2 linked regions of the Xenopus tropicalis genome follow. The protein of the gene in region 2 purifies or fractionates together with the protein of the main gene of each other region. This does not show direct contact. Links are inferred from orthologs where the notes say so. Each region holds a gene or a part of one and is shown on either strand. Other genes may lie near its edges.

Region 1 (4,245 bases), on a different chromosome or scaffold from region 2:
ATTATTGCAGTCACACAACTTGGATTGCTGAGTTTTAAGCCTGTATTGTATTCCTGATGTTAAATAGGAGATATGACTTTTTTGCATAAAAACACTGCATTTACGCTTAATATCCGTTGGAACAAATAATTCACTTACCATGATTTCTTACTTTTCACGTGACAGTCTTCACTTTAATCTACTGTTTTGTATTTCTTATTGTAATCCTTGGGCATCATAAGAATCTCCACTGTATTCTACATATTTTTTGTAGAAAATAACATTTTATTTTGTATTCCTGCAGTTAGGGTAATTTTGCTTTTCATGGCCCTGTTAGGCTGTGCATTGTAATTCTATGTAAAAGCTCTGATTTGTATTCCTGGGGTATTAATCTCTAGATTATATTCCTTTCATGGATTCATGATATTTTCAGGTCAGTATCGAATTCCTAGTATACCCTACTTAGGAAGCTCTGTATTGTAATCCAGTGGGTTCTAATGTTATACTTTGTATTCCTGGGAAATAGGCAGACTTTCTGTATTCCTAAAAAGTATGGAATTTGCACTGTATTTCTGGCATAATAGTAATAAATATGATACCATGATTTATTCCTTGCACTGTTATCCTGTTGGATACGACTTTGTATATCCACAAATTAGTTTTGTTTTCCACATACTCGTAGATATGCTCTGTATTTCATGGACAACACAACTTTCCACCTTGTACTCCTGCAATTAGAATTGTTTTGTACTCCATAGCCCTGGAAGGTTGCACATTATATTTCTGGGCTAGTAGGGACACTGCATTGTATTCCTTGCCTGAGTTGCACTGTATTCCTGGGACATAGGTTGATATACTGTATTCCTAAGAAGTATGGGTTTAGCACTGTATTCCTGGCATAATAGAAATCCATATGATACTTGCCATGATTTCTTATCTTCAGGACATGGTCATTTGCTCCATTCTTGAGATTAAAAATCGATGTATTCCAGAAATTGAATAAATTGCATATTGCATCTATGATGTATTATTATATGTATTGTATTCCTTGGGCAAAATTACATTCCATTTGGTGTACCTGTAGCAAAAGGTGCATGTAATTTCAGTAATTTTCCACTCCATCTTGTAATCCTCCTGTTGTTTTCCTCCATGTACCAACACTCAGACAAAAGCTGTAGTTTTCAGTGCAGATACCCGGATATACAAAAGAGAAGGGATTTGCTTCTCTCCACCTGCCTAAAAAGTATAGAGGAGCGGAGCCAGTTCTCTGTGTGGCCTTGCGAAATGGGGTATATCATTCCTTGAGCCTGGAAACTTTAATATATTTATTATTACTCTTTTTGCAGTATAACTATGTTGATAATTGTAATATTGCTTTTGTAGCATTATAGTTGTAAACTGACTCAGGCAACAGTAACAGCAACAGACATATATAATATTACAGACAAAACCACGTAAACATTTGTAATCCATTTGTAATCCATTTGTAATCCATTTGTAATCCATTTGTAATCTTTATTCTCAATAAACAATGATTCCTTAATGTCTTAATTTCACAACCCCTCTGGGTTACTTATATACGTATCTTGAAAAAATAAAGATAAAAATGATATAATAAAAAGTGTGTATGTGCATGTGCGGGGGGCTCTGAGGAACAGAAAATGTAGAGACTGTTAGCTAGAAAATTGTTTCAAGGTCATCTAAAACTTGTTGCAATATTTTAACCATTTCTATAAAAAAGATGAAGACAAAGTTAATCTGTACAGCCTACAGGTGTAACAATGGTTATCTATGGTTATGTTGAACTTCTCTAATATCTAAAGATCTCCTTACCAGAATCTGACACATTTCTGCTAGTAGCTCAATTGCATTTTTCACTTTTGCTGGCTAAACTGGTTAACAGGCTGCAAAATCCTGTGCTGGAGAGATGAGCAGTGCTGTGTCAGGACTTATCTGCCTTGTCTCTGTAAGAGCTGCAGCTGCCTGGCATTGTAATATCATGAGACTCAATGCTAACGGATTCAACCAATTTGAAAAGCAGGGGTGTGCTGTTAGAGATTTCAGTTGCAACTGAAATCAGTACTCAGTCACCTGACTATATTTCTGTTACTGCTAATGTTTTATGTACATTTGTTATGGTCTAAAATATTTACCATTCTTCTAAACATTAAAAAGCAGGCTAAACTATCACTTGGTGTACTGTCAGAAAGAGAATGAATAGTTGTTTAAAAAAAATGCACATATATATATTTATATATCTGTAGTAGGACATAAGCAACATTTTTTGTTCAGTTCAACATGTGGAGTGTGTGAGCTTAGTTTCCATTGCTTTATAGGTATTATTCTGCTAAGTTTCTGATGATCTTTTTACCATTATTTTAAAAGTAAGAAATAGCTTAGTGGCAGATACAAGCTCTCTTTCCCTAGTCCTCTTTGCTATATATCAGAAATGCAAGCAATTAGCATTCAGCAGAAAGTTAGATAAGAAAAGCTGGGGTCTATTAGCCTGAAAATGAGCCCACTGGTTATTAGGATACTAACAGTCCAACTCAAATTGAAGTCAATACTGAGCTGTATATCTGATTGCTATTTATCTGCTAATGCATTACATGTTATAGTGTCAAAGATTTGACAGTGCTTTTAGACTAATTTCAATCTAGGCTACAATGATTGCTAACATTAAAAACCAACCTTTATTGGAGCTCCCATCGATCCTCTCTGCTGCACTGTCCATGAGTGGTGAGCACTAACGGTCCTAACGGTCTAAACTGTCATTAACTGTCACTTGGCTTATTTGATGTACTGTCAGAGAGTTTTTATTGGAGCTCCCACAGATCCTCTCTGATCCACTGCCTTTCTCAAATAAGTAGTTGGCATGTTCTAACACTTCCTGCACAGAAGCGCAGTAGGATGTGGTCAGCCAATCACAGCTCTGCTTTCATCCAGGGAAAGAGAGTACAGTTCCCTGCTGAGTGACTCTACCTGCAGATCTGCTGGCATTCTACAGTGCAAGCTGCTGAGAGCTGCTGGCCATCATCCATGACTTGATACAGGGTCAGACTGAGCTGCCGGGGCACCAGGAAAAAACCCGGTGGGCCCCACCGTCCCAGACCTAATCCCTGGAGCACCAGTCGGCTGCTGTTCTCCTTCCCCTGGCGCACCTGAAAGTAACTATACTGTACATGCTCTCAGGGGAGGAGGTTGGGAGGTGCAGGGGCCCCTGGGGTGCTGCCCTGGTGGGCCCTGCACCCCCTAGTCTGATCCTGGCTTGCAATGAGAAATACAGTATTTGTTCTTGGAAATATTTGTTCTTGACAACACTTTACCATTAATCTACTCTTCAGTCTATTGCATATCTTTTCATTCAGAATAAAAGCTTTCCTTTTCTCACAGCTGAACACATGCCTGAATGACAAAACTTAAATGATCTGTAAATAAAGTAGCAATGAAACCTGGTTTTTGTTATATAATCTTTTATTTTACCATTTTTATTTAATGTATTTTTCTTTCAAGCATGTTTCTTAAATGGCAGGGTTTGGCTTGCCTGGAGACCAAAGAAGGAAGGAAGGAAGGAAGGAAATGGCTTAGGAGTCAGTGGGATTTGGAAGAATTTGGCTCAAGTTAAAGTTTTGTCTTTTTTCCATTATAAACCTGGAATAAGAAACAAACAGATTTAGGTACAACTGGATTTAGTCGCAGATGCAAACCTGCACCTGTGCAGTAACCCATAGCCCTGAAGTAGCTGTTAGTTTACAAATTAGGCATGGGAAACCTCTCTCTCTTAGCATCCCAAATACAGTCTTCTGCTGTCAGTAAGATGCTGGGGGTTGTCATGTAACACCATCCTTTGGTCATTTTTGAATTGCATTTAGTCTTTACATCCTAACTGCAAAAAGCTGATGTGAACTAATTGTGAATTAATTCCTCCATGGTTGGTATGGTTTGCACTAGTGCAATTTCCACTTAAATGCTATCCACTTAAATCTATCTATCTATCTATCTATCTATCTATCTATCATCTATCTATCTATCTATCTATCTATCTATCTATCTATCTATCTATCTATATGTCTATGTATCTTTCTGTCTATATGTCTGTCTGTCTTTATGTCTATCTATCTATCTATCTATCTATCTAGTATATTTTAAATTGTACATTGGGTGCTTATTGTGTGCTGGGTGAGTATTTAACATCAAAACAATAGTTATTGTTTTTGTTATTGTATTATTACAGTCCTTTGCAAATGTAAAATAGCAGAAACACCA
Region 2 (4,180 bases):
TCAAACTATTCAGTGGACCCCTGGCGTTCAAATTTAGGATGTTTAATTTGGTTACTTTATGACCTGCAGGAGATAAGATACTATAGACTGGAAGCTTTGAAGCTATTTTTTTTAAATTTTACAAATTTTGATAAAAATCAGTAACTTTAGGAAACTTGGTAGTTTGGAGTAGACAGACAGTTGTGCGTATTCTGGATTCCCCAGAATCTGTTTCCAAAAATGTATGATTTCTGGGATAAACCCTCTGTTACTGCAATCTTTGGCCTTGAAACCTGAAGTATGCAGCTTTCTGAACCAGTGCTTTGGAATTTTGGTAGTGTACTGCTTGTAGTTTTTGACCTATACAAGTGAGAAATCTCCATAAAACTATGTATATTTGGTATTGGCACATTCAGGAGACATGGGGCTTTCCAAATCAGTTGTATTTTCGTGCATAAAATAATTTTTTTAGACATTTAGAAGCCTATATCTTGTTACAGAATTGGAATTCTACCATATTTTGAAAGCTTAAATTGTCCTGAAAAAATGATATATTGTTTTTCTGGGTAAACTAAAAGTCCCCCCGAGGAAAGGCCCCTAAAGTGAAAGTTCCGCTTTGACCCAATCGTCTGGAAGTGAAAGGGTTAAGGCATAAGAATTTAGTACAAGATATAAATTTGCCTAGTTTTCATCCTTTTTTTGCTGCACTACATGCCAAAAAAACCCACAGGTAACGCATTCTATTCATAACACTGTAGGTACTTATATGCTGACCCAGTTGCCTAAGACCTGCTATTTTACTGCAGTTCATGATTGTTTAGCTACTTCCTAACTGCAGCCATTGTTGCATCAATAACCTATTGGTTACAGTTTAAACGGAAACCCACATAAAACAGCACTGGGATCCATTTCTTGCTCTGAACCCATTTATTAATCCCATCTTCAATCCAAGCCCCCCATACCACTGTCTATCGCTAGATGGGGTTAATAAAATACTGAAAGACGTCACTGTTAATGACTTTCAAGCAGACGATACCATTTGTAGAAAACAGGAGGGTGATGTTGTAAGTCTTACCCCCACCAAAAAAATGTATTGTTTTTATATGACCGATGTGTGTTATGCTTTCCTGTTTTCTGTAATGTAACAGAATAATGAAGCCGAAATGAAATCAATCCCAGAACCAGGAGAGTTTTCTAAGTTATAATTCTGGAACCTGCAGCTTCCCACACTGTGACTGCGCCTGGCGGAGGGCGGAGGCAAGGCTAGACTTCCGGATGTGCGCAGTGTGAGGCGACGTTGTGTATTTGTGAGCCGGTGTAAGCTGTAAGGCTGGCGGACTTTGAAGAGGCCATGGCCATGGCTGGGAGCAGCGTGGCCCAGAAGACATGGGAGCTCTCCAATAACATGCAGGAGGTGCAGAGCATCGATGAGATCTATAAATACGATAAGAAGCAGCAGCAGGAGATCCTAGCAGCCAAACCATGGACAAAGGAGTAAGAAATGGGAATTGAGAAGGACGGGGGTTGTTTGGGATAGGAGAGACAGAATGCATGACATCCAGGGGATTTGAAAGTTGTAGATCGCTAACAATTGGATGGTCTGAAGTGAAATATACCAATATTGAGGGGTATATTTATCATGCTTTGTAAAAAGTGGAGAGCATTACTGATGATGTTGCTCAGGGCAACCAATCAGCAGTTAGATTTCAACAATTAGAAAACTAAAGCAAAGCATGTTATTGGCTGCTATGAGCAATATCACAGGTAATGTTTTACTCCACTTTTTACACAGCATGATAAATATACCCTTTAGCATTGTGAAAAACTTGAAAGTACTCTACTTGAACTACAATTCCCAGACATCTCTGGCAGCCAGGTGGTTTCAATACTAGTTATTACTATAAGTAAACTAGTTATTACAAGCTGCTGATAAAGCCCCAGTTGCTTGACCACCAAGCTCTATAGATATGCTCAGCTGCATATCTACAGGCCATATTCGCTCAGGGGCATGTGACTTTACATGAAGAAGCTGACGGTCGGTCAGGATTGACTTGTGGCTGTAACACATTGTTACGGAGTGTTTTAGATGCATATGACTGGCCTTTAGAAGTTTATTCGATACAAGTGTATTCAATACTGTTCTCCCTAACCTTGGTGAGTCCTGCTGTTGTTGCTTAGTTTGTCCCTGTTATGTCTCATATCTTATCAACTTTAATGTTAAGACACATCTTGTAACATTTTTTCATTAACCATTTATACATACTTGTAACGCTATAATTTAACTTATTTTCACTTTATTTTCTGTTTCTTTGCTTCTTTCTGCTTCTGTTCTCCATGTTGTTGGTTTACAGTGTTTTTTATGGTTACTATGATCACTTTTTGGCGCCATTTTTTGTGGGATGTTATTTAAAATGTGTGTGGGTATTCAGTCTGTTGGTTTGTCCCTGAAGAATACTGTTGGTATTCCAAACATTTTTTCAATAAACTTGAGCGTGCAGTGCTCTTTATCTAGCCTATCTATCTATGTACAAATTATCACAATTATAAAAACAAAGGTAATATACTGCATTGTATAGCAGTGACAGGGTTTGGAATCTGTAGACCCAAAAACTTTTTCCTCTGTAATTCTTTTATTAGCTTGTATTAATTATGGGGGGATTTGAATATTACAGAGGAAAGAAAGGTTCCTTGTCTCCAGTCCAATTAATGTGTGTATGTTTATCCAGAAAACTTGGGACCTGGGGTTTTCCTGATAAGGGGTCTTTCCATAATTTGGATCTCCTACCTTTAATCTTCTAAAACAAATATGTAAACAGTAATTAAACCCAATAGGATTGTTTTGGCTCCAATAAGGATAAATTATATCTTAGTTGGGATCAAGTACAAGGTACAGGTATCGGACATAAGATACACTGACTAGATTGCCCTTTTACTGATCTTTCATGCAACAGGGCCCTGACACATGAGATTAGTTGCCCATTATAAATCTCCTCTACCATGGGCAACTGATCATCTCCAAATGCCTTCCAACTGGCGATAATGTAAATTGCCGGTGGAAAAACATATGCGTTGCTTTGGCTTTCCAAAATTATGCGAAGTTGCCCTGCAAAGAAACTTCTGACTATGGAAAGCTGTAGCATCGCTTATGTTTTCCCACCGGTGATTTATATTTTCACCAGTGGCAAGGCAGTTGTCTAAACTCCTTGTCTTTCATTGTCCTAAGTGCTGCAGAGAGATCATAGCTGCCTCATACACATTCAATAGGTATATTCGGTTAGCCTTTATAAAATGCACTTTTGTTAAAGCTATGTGATGTGCAGATTGGTGAGATAATGGTGAGCTGCATTGTTCTAACCAAAGCAAACACTGCTTGGCTATTAAAGGGAACTGACTTGCTATTGATTAGCAAGAAAAGAGGCTGCCTTTCTGTTGTTCACATGAAATTATGCCCTGGGTAAGTTTACTTCTTCTTGTTTACAGCCATCATTACTTCAAGTACTGCAAAGTGTCTGCCCTAGCCCTGCTGAAGATGGTCATGCACGCCAGATCAGGAGGGAACCTTGAGGTGATGGGCCTCATGCTTGGAAAAGTGGACGGGGAGACTATGATCATTATGGACAGTTTTGCTTTACCAGTTGAAGGAACTGAAACCAGAGTCAATGCTCAGGCTGCTGCTTATGAATACATGGCTGCATATATTGAAAATGCAAAGCAGGTACCTTGCATCCTGGCTTAAAAATTATACCATTTAAAAGGAAAAGATAGTTTTCTCTTCTCTCAGTTCATTTCCTTAATTGTCATCTCTACTGCATAACATGCTTACACAGTGAATACAGTGTATAAAGACAGTAATAATGTGCAATACAAGTAGGACAATACTTATTTAAGCTTTAACATTCATTTAACATTAACAATTATATATGTGTATTCTAATTACAAAGTTGCAGTTTTCCTTGAGGAGGATATGCTTGCCCAGATAGGCTGTCCGTATACACAGCAGCTAGGATTCACTTTTTCTTTTTTCTAATTGTGGCAGACTGTTCACATTTAACCATATTTCATTGTGGAATTAGCACTGGTGAACATTTAAATCCTCAATTTTCACAGTTTGAGACAGAAAAGCTGTTTTCTTATGACACTAGGCCTGCACTTGTATGGTTTTTCTTTTTCATTCAGTAGAAACATCATTCTCTTTGCACAG

What was found.
Region 1: the proteins of cops5 (region 2) and btbd1 purify together in Homo sapiens (affinity purification with mass spectrometry; 3 studies listed by BioGRID and IntAct, counting the BioPlex papers as one, with this or other methods). This does not show direct contact. The link is inferred for Xenopus tropicalis from reciprocal best matches to the Homo sapiens genes COPS5 and BTBD1.

The regions. Positions count from the first base shown.
Region 1 is NC_030679.2:105,452,038-105,456,282, forward strand, and holds the start of btbd1 (BTB/POZ domain-containing protein 1), read right to left. Parts: upstream 2,847-4,245; 5' UTR 2,671-2,846; intron 1-2,670.
Region 2 is NC_030682.2:119,216,894-119,221,073, reverse strand, and holds the start of cops5 (COP9 signalosome complex subunit 5), read left to right. Parts: upstream 1-1,321; 5' UTR 1,322-1,330; coding exon 1,331-1,473; intron 1,474-3,459; coding exon 3,460-3,694; intron 3,695-4,180. UniProt on the Homo sapiens protein: Probable protease subunit of the COP9 signalosome complex (CSN), a complex involved in various cellular and developmental processes.